Linked DNA regions of Schizosaccharomyces pombe. Changing the gene in region 2 together with the main gene of any one other region gives a genetic interaction. Each region holds a gene or a part of one and is shown on either strand. Other genes may lie near its edges.

What was found. A genetic interaction does not mean that the proteins touch.
Region 1: mutations in nup37 (region 2) and mok11 together harm fitness more than expected from each alone (negative genetic interaction), as found in Schizosaccharomyces pombe (one large-scale study listed by BioGRID).

Annotation. Positions count from the first base shown.
Region 1 is NC_003424.3:4,372,600-4,377,372, reverse strand, and holds the start of mok11 (cell wall alpha-1,3-glucan synthase Mok11), read right to left. Parts: upstream 3,011-4,773; 5' UTR 2,997-3,010; coding exon of another isoform or gene 2,682-2,996; 5' UTR 2,641-2,681; coding exon of another isoform or gene 2,386-2,640; 5' UTR 1,875-2,385; coding exon 1-1,874. Other genes in the region: aah2 (alpha-amylase 2), read left to right, coding at 2,386-2,640, 2,682-2,996, 3,115-4,002, 4,047-4,334; SPOM_SPAC23D3.13C (guanyl-nucleotide exchange factor), read left to right, coding at 4,661-4,741.
Region 2 is NC_003424.3:4,868,339-4,872,569, forward strand, and holds nup37 (nucleoporin), read left to right. Parts: upstream 1-2,005; 5' UTR 2,006-2,161; coding exon 2,162-2,187; exon of another isoform or gene 2,188-2,238; coding exon 2,239-2,315; exon of another isoform or gene 2,316-2,388; intron 2,389-2,484; coding exon 2,485-3,557; 3' UTR 3,558-3,688; downstream 3,689-4,231. Other genes in the region: SPOM_SPAC4F10.17 (uncharacterized protein), read left to right, coding at 250-621; hit1 (HIT zinc finger domain-containing protein), read right to left, coding at 3,838-4,231.

The sequences.
Region 1 (4,773 bases), 500 kb from region 2:
TTGTATTCTGAGCTTATATTTTGCAATGAATTAATGGCACCCCTCACCATACTAAACGTACCAACGTTGGAGGGATTTATGCCGCTATTTGGCAGATATTCAATATTGGTCCAGTTTCCTAAAAGTTCCGATTTCCAGCCGTGAGTGAGCGCACTATATCGAGACCTGATATCTTGAAACTCTATAAATAATTGTCGCTCAATTCTTGAAGGGTCAAAATGATCTAAAGAATTCCAAATATCTAAACAACCAATTTTCGCGGGACTTAAGTCAATAGCAGGGTAAGTAGAAGATGATCCAGAATAACAGCCATGAATATACCAAGCCGGAGCCGCAGCCATGGATTGTCTGCCATATAAATAATTGTTTGCACTGTTATCTAAAACGTACAGTCCTTGTTCATCACCATAATATATTAGAGGCGCACCAGGAAACAAAAAAAATGTCATCATTGTTCCTAAGATTAATCGGCGAGAGCCATCAGCAACCGATGCCCAGCGGAAAACATCGTAATTTGAAACACCGTATAAATGGCGAGGGTCATATTTTTCAGTTTTGGGATTGAAAGAATCTTCATTTATCACAATTTGGTGCCATGCTTCAGCCAAATCTACAGGGAGATCGTAAGGGATCTCCATTAAACCATCCATTCTCAAGAATCGTAAAATAATCCTGTAAACTGAATAATGAAAAGCGGATGCATCCAAAGCATTTTCACCTTCTTCTCTTAGGAAGTAAACATTATCAGAAGAAGTAGCATTCAGCGCATCGATTAAATTTGCGGGACGTTGATTTGGCTGTCTACCCCGGTTATAGTATATAGCTCCAAAGCTTGAGGGACCAGTGACTTCTCCAGGTATAAAAAAATTACTTTTGTTAAATCGATTTGCGCAGAGACGAACGCTTTTGGCCCAATCTACAAGGAAATCTACTGTCATCTGGGTAGCCTTATCAATGCGAAAACCGTCTACATCAAGCATAGAAATCACCAAGCATGAAAGCCTCTTGAGTTTCGATGCTACCGAAGGTTTCCATTCACGAAGCCGGTCCTGAACAGATGCAAATTTTGAGAGTTGACGTTGCCAATCAGGATGACTACCAAACGCTTCAGTATCACCATACTGGTCAAAGTCCGAATTATAACAACCCGTCCATTCTACTACCACAGGTTCACCAGATTCGCCCCAAAATCTAGGCAATTCACAGTCAGGGTCCCACGAATTTGTGAAATTCCAATCAGCATACCGATCTTCTCCTTTCCAAAGAGCGTTATGCTCAATAAAAGTAAACGGAGTAGTAGTGTTTGTGAAACCCTCGAAACCTATCAGATCGGCTAATGTAGCAACGGTGAGATCCACAATTACATACATGCCTTTACTATGCATTTCTTCGATTGTTCCTCTCCAGTCGTTAATCGTCCCTAAATGAGGATCAAGTAACGTGAAATCAAGAGGAGAATACTGATCAGCTCCCCAAGGCATATTAACAAAAGGTGTCCCAGCAAAGTAAACAGCTTTAACACCCATACCTTGCAAATAGTCTAAAGATTGACGCACACCAATTATATCTCCACCGTTTCTAAATTCTGTCTCATAAATGTCGTATTCAAATCTTGTTCCACTAAAATCATTATTGGTTGGATCTCCATCGACCCATTTGTCAATAGCAATAGTATAAATGGGAAATCTCCAATGTTCTGGGCTAGGAAAAAATTCATGATTCTCCCATTCACCCCAATAATCCGATGGATCAAGAGCAGAAACGTTAGTGTTCAAATTCCAATCAGTAAGGAGATTATTGAAAGGAGCGCACCAAGCATGTTTGTCAAGTATAACAATATACAAAAAGAAAGAAACAACAAGAGGGTACGCCATATCCCTAAGTGTAAAAATCTAGTTAAATAGTTGAAAAAGTAAAAAGATTTTAACAAATTTGATAGGAGCACAAAAGATAGAAGGTAAAGTCTTCAGACTTAAACTAGTGATTAAAGGGAAAAAACGATCACTCTAGTATTTAAAATGAAGTTTCTTTTATAGAATTTTAATAGATAATCTTTGAAAAAGAAAAAAAATACTGGTTCTTCAGTTATTTATCTTATACTGATTTCAGTATGTCCATGTGTTGCGCAAAACAAAATGTTGAATATGAATATAATCAAACTATATTGTTTGTTTACTAAAACAACAGTAGTGATGTGTGCGCAATTTAAAGTAGCAAATAGCTAATTGTTTGATAACAATCGTTGTTGACTATGCGCAAATAAAAAGTAAACACGTATTTGTTTACATGCATTCACACAAACTCCTCTGAAATTTAAGAAGCAAAATTGTTACAAACAACACCATAATTCAATCAGAAACCAAAAGGTAAAAAAATTGATTAATAATGAATTACCGTAGAAATATATGTCTCAGAATTGGTTGGATGCTGCTTTTTGCATTTATTCCAGCATATGCAGGACATTCTGCTGAAGAGTGGAAACGCAGATCAATTTATCAAATAATCACCGACAGATTTTCTTTAGAAGAAGGTGCAACAGAGAGAATTCCATGCGATCCCGTTCGATTTATGTACTGCGGGGGAACTTGGAATGGAATTCGAAATCATCTAGATTACATCCAAGGCATGGGATTTGACGCAGTATGTATTTTTACCCAAATACTTGATTAACATAATGATAGATATGGATCTCACCAATCTTTGAAAATGTTGAAGGAAATGATATTGACGGTTCGTCCTATCACGGATATTGGACAACCAACCTCTATGAGCTTAATCACCACTTTGGAACAAAGGAAGAATTTATGGAGCTAATACAAGAATTGCATAAACGCGACATATGGATTTTACTAGACGTGGCTATCAATTCTATGGCGATAAACGGACCGCTGGAACAAATGAGCTTTGAAAAAGTTATACCCTTCAATGATGCTTCTTTCTTTCATCCTCACTGCTGGGTTGATTATGAAAGCAACGACATTGAAAGTGTTCAAAATGTATGCCAAATTATACAGACTAAACGATTTTTCCTACAACCTAGACTTAGCCTGTACAGGTCGTTAAGTCTCGTTATATTGTTTTTTAGAACGACAGTGAACTAACTATATGATATAGTGCTGGCTTGGTGATGAGAATTTACTGTTGGCTGATGTTGATACAGAAAACGAAGTAGTTTTGAGCGTTTTAGAGAAATGGATAAAAAACGTTGTGCAAGAATATGATATCGATGGTATCAGGTTTGATGCAATTAAGCATGCGCCGATAGAATTCTGGTTACGAATGTCGAAAGCAGCGGATATATTTACAATCGGCGAATATTTCACTGGTTCGCCAGCAGAAGCCTGTGATTACCAAAATTCTGGTTTAGACTCTTTCCTCAATTTCCCTCTTTACTGGCCAATTACTTGGGCATTCAACAACACTGGTCTTCAATGCGAGGCTTTAGCAATCGCAATTAACCAAATAAACGAAGAGTGCAATGATATCAATGTGTTGGGAACGTTTATTGGAAATCATGACTTACCAAGAATAAGCCACAATAACACCGACCAAGCAAGAATTATGAATGCAATTACATTTGTGATGATGTGGGACGGTATACCCATTATTTACTATGGTACCGAACAAAATTTCAACAGTTACCATGATCCGTTTAATAGAGAAGCTCTTTGGCTATCAAATTTTGATATGGAGAATGTATACTATAAGCTTATTGGTATCCTAAATCGGTTCAGGAAGTCCGTTCAACGTCAGGAAGAGAATTATGTGAACACTAGATCTACTATCCTAAGCGTCAAAATTCACCACATAGTTGTTCAAAAGTTGAATGTTATTACCGTTTTGAACAACTATGGAATTCATAACGAAGAGCGTCTATCAATCGTTTTCAAACCGCTTGGCGCATCTCCTAAGGACACGTTTTTTGATATCATTAACAACCAAAAATATGTTGTGAACACTGACGGCACGCTTAAAGTTGTCATCACTAACGGATTTCCCATTGTAAGTTATTTCATTGTCTAAAAGACTACTAACGTTCATTAAAGGTTTTATATCCTACCAGCAAAATCGAAACTTCATTACCCCAGTTTACAGCGACTCTTCTTCCAGAAATAACATTTGTTCCAAGTATTACAGTTACTACTCATTATGTTTTGCCTACCTTGTTAGCTCCATTGGGATACGATATACGTGAACATCCTGGAGGTCAACAATTTTGGAATACGTTAACTGCTAAATCAGAGGCTAAAACCATTCGATCCTTCACCAAATTGAAATTATTCATTCTGCTAATTGCTGTTCCATTTGCTTTACCCATGATTATTCTCATTTAATACTGTTCAAGTTTTTTATCATTCTCCCCACCTCTTTAAAAAACCTTTCATCAAGCGCCTAATTAAACGAGCGCTTTATTTTATCTGGTTTATACTATTGTTTATTTTGCTCTCATAAAATAAACTAGATGTTATATAATATAGTGTTTATACAATTCGTAATACCAATCTTGCGTTACTCTGTTAAGCTCCTTATAGCAATCCAGTGAACATCGCAAATTAATACCTCAACAGCCCTCATTGAGTGTGGTATATACTCCGTTTCCAAATCCCTTGAATTACATGCATGAAAAGGGGTTTAGATTCTTTAATTAAAGCAGACACTCATGAGTTTATATGATAGTCTTCTTTCAAATTTGCAGTCAATTAATGTGGACACTAGGAAAAAGAATGCAGACTTGAAGAAGGTAAATGTGAGCGTATCAACTTTTTAGTCTAA
Region 2 (4,231 bases):
TGTACTATATATACAGTGCAAAGGGTATGGGTAAAGTAAATAAACGATTTCTCAATAACAACAAATAAAGCATATTTATTGTTGTTTAATTTTTTTCGTCTTGAAAAAGAAAACAGAATTGGAAAATTGCTAAGGCACCATAAACAGATAAAGTATAACGTTTTAGTTCATACCCACTAGCGTTGGTAACTAAAACTTACACAAATTTTATATTTTTTGCTTTATTTTTTTTATCTTCATATTGTTAACATGGCGTTTCGTGCTGCAAGAATTGCTTTCGCTTGGAAGGCAACCAATCCTGCTAATACAACAATTCGTCAATATATAAAAGAAACACTGGAAGAAGCACCTGAGAAAATCAGTCAAACTGTCAAAAAAGCAACTGGTAAGGCTTCGAAAAAGATAGATGAAAACAAAGATAAGTCACCACAGGAAATGGCTGAGAATGCAAAGCAATCGGTAAAGCAAACTGCCAAGGATGCAAAAGATACCGACTATCAGCAAAAGGCGAAAGATGCTGGTAAGAAAATAAAAGAGGAATTTAGCCAACGGTCGGAAAACGTACTCGAAGAAACTCGTCGTGAGGGGATGAATCGTGATGGTGGTGTTAAAAAGGAATAAAGAGGATTCCTTGTAAATGAATCGAGTTAATGTATTGAGTGGAAGCTTGTATACAAGCTCCTTGATGCTCTTTATGATTTTAAAGATGCTTCACGTTTGAAAACATCGCTTTCTTTTTGGATTTATATGAACGAACAATGCATGATTTACAAAACGAAGCTAGAAGATTGTTAATAAACTAAAAATCATAGTTCAACGGTTCCTGGCTTTTATTTACAAAATAAATTCAATTTTTGATGATAGCAAAAAAAAAAAATTTCATGATTTAAATAAGAATGAGATTATCGCGAGATGTGTTAATTATATTCCGGTTGTATAGTCTGGTATTCGTGGCAGTGATACTGCATATTTTGCATTGCCGATGCTAGCCTTAGTATGGACTTGACTGTATGTAAAAACTTTATGGCCCACATGCTGTCAACAGCTACTATGGTCAAATTTAAATTTTGTTATTCTATAGGCCGGATAGTTGTATAAAGGCATTGTAATGGATAATGGTAATAATACTCATTTTGGTCAAACACATTCATGCCATTCTACTCCAGTAAATTCAATGCCGCTCGTTGTAAGCATAGCGATAAATCCCAAAGGCTGTTCAAAGCAATAATTTCAAATTTGTATTGCAACTTGCCAACATTTTTAAAGTAAATAAATTCCGTTATTGTACAGTGACATTCTCATGTTATATACGCTCTACAGTCAATAACATAATATCATTCACCAACATGATAGTACTCGATTGTATTATATTTTACTAGTCTTGAAGCAAGAATAGCCATAGCCCTTGGGTTTTTGAAGTTGCCAAGATTTCGGCTCAGAATGAAATGCCCAAGCTAAGATTTCCGAAGGTTTTTTCAAATTTTCAATATTTACTGCATTTACTCCCTCCACAAAATCTGGTTTATACGAGAAGATGTGACTGCTAAAATGATCATTATGCTATAAAAAACCCCATTTGTCGTTTACAATGCTTTACATTCGTTTTTATCCACACTATTCACAAGCCTGTGTCACGGTTTATGTAATTGGCTTGGGGAACGTGTTGGAAAGAATAAAACCGCTGTATACTTCATACGGAACGCAATTATTACTTTTCGTTCTGCAATAAATCAGTGGAATATCGTGTTGGTTTTTTTACATATAGTTTTATTTTGATGTATTTAGTAAACACTCTATTTGTTAATTGAATATAAGTTAAATTATTAAAAGATATTTAGTATAAGTACAAATTTTAGTAATTGCATTAAAATGGTTATATTTATCGTGTTTCATTATCTAAACTGCTTTGTATAGGTTTTCGTTTGATTTTTTGTAAATTAATGGTGGTAGTTTTGGCTCCGTAAGGTAGAACGTTTTCTTCAGCTTCATCCAATTCACGTAACCCACTAGTTACCTGCAACACCATATCACTAGAAAACGTGGCCGAAACTTCTCTTTTTCCATTTGTATATATAAATGCATTTTTAATTTCTTTATCTTTTTATTGTCTGCACAATAAAGCGTTCATTCTTTCCGTTTTTTTTGAAAACTATTTTTCGTCATGACTCTTTCCTCTAACCAGTATCAGTACGTTCAGCGTTATTTCGTTTATGTCTCTTTCTAACTTCTGTTTATTAGATTGCCTCTTAATGTCCGCCCGTATACAACGACTTGGTGTTCCCAGTCTCCTTCCTGTTCAAATCTTCTTGCCATAGGTATGTAAGATATCTGAATGTTACGACGAATGGTAATTTACGTATTACTCATTTCTTCTTTTCTGTTTTCCTAAGTTACAATATTTGAGAAAACCTCAGTGCTAATGAAACAATTATCTTCAAATAGCATTCCTCTAAACGTTTTAAACTAATGATTAACCTTATACAGGCCATGATACGGGTATCACTATTTATTGTGCTTCAGAAGAACAGACGCCCGGATCTACAGGTTTGACATTACAAGAGTTGTTCACTATTCAAACTGGGTTACCCACTTTGCATCTTTCTTTTTCATCTAGCTGTAGTTATTCTGAGAATTTGCATGATGGCGATGGAAATGTGAATTCCTCACCTGTGTATTCTTTGTTTCTTGCATGTGTGTGTCAGGATAATACAGTTCGTCTAATAATTACAAAGAATGAAACCATTATTACTCAACATGTGTTGGGCGGAAAATCTGGGCATCATAATTTTGTGAATGATATCGATATTGCAGACGTCTATTCCGCTGATAATCGTCTCGCTGAGCAGGTGATAGCATCTGTGGGCGACGATTGTACGTTGATTATATGGAGACTGACTGATGAAGGGCCTATTTTAGCTGGATACCCATTGTCTTCCCCTGGTATTAGTGTCCAATTTCGCCCATCTAATCCTAATCAATTGATTGTTGGAGAAAGGAATGGTAATATTAGGATTTTTGACTGGACTTTGAATTTATCAGCTGAAGAAAATTCTCAAACCGAGTTGGTTAAAAATCCATGGCTTTTGACTTTGAATACCCTGCCACTCGTTAACACCTGTCATAGTAGCGGCATTGCTTCCTCTTTAGCTAACGTTCGATGGATCGGAAGTGATGGAAGCGGTATACTTGCAATGTGTAAAAGTGGGGCTTGGCTTCGTTGGAATCTTTTTGCTAATAACGATTACAATGAAATCTCGGATTCCACTATGAAATTGGGACCCAAAAATCTACTGCCCAACGTGCAAGGCATTTCATTGTTCCCATCCTTGCTTGGTGCTTGCCCACATCCCCGTTACATGGATTACTTTGCTACGGCACATTCTCAGCACGGCTTAATACAGCTCATTAATACATATGAAAAGGACTCGAATTCAATTCCTATTCAATTAGGTATGCCCATCGTTGACTTTTGCTGGCACCAAGATGGATCACATCTTGCTATAGCTACGGAAGGATCTGTTTTGCTTACCAGATTGATGGGGTTTACGAGATTATGAGGGTATAGAACAATATACTTAACATCGAACTAAAATAAACGGGTTCAGGAGAGGAAATTGTATTGAATAAATATTAATGTTCATAGTTAAACCAAAAAGTAGTATTTGCTATGTATTAACATCGTGTAAACGCTGTTACTTTTAAAAATTTTAAATGGATGTGTTGCTTTCGTAAACAATTCGCCTTGGTTCAAATATCGCCTTTGATATTTCAACTTCCAATAACCGATATGCGATTTGAATTGAATCTTCTAAATGTTCGTTACAATGATAAAACCCATTATTTTTGAGCATAATATTTTTCCAGAATCATGGATGCCAGTTTTTCGAAAGATGGATTGTGTAGCCGCTGTTGCTGAATAGCATCTAAGGTTTTCAGAGGAACAGAACCCTCTTCCTCACGGTCAAGGTTCACTAATTCTTTCATTATATGTAAAAGCTCGGCATTACTTTCAATTAAATTTTTTATGCTAGGATCTTCGACAATAGATTCCAAAAGACTTTCACTTGGCAATGCCTCTTCTGCTAAACTTGGGATTCTTCCATTAACGTAGATAACATTAGGAGAAGGTTCTGGGGGGTTTAAAGGTTCTTTAACTCCTTTGAATGTTGTTGTGTTATTGTCATTTACAGTCTCACATTGACTTTGGTGGATTTTCCAGCAAGGTAATGAA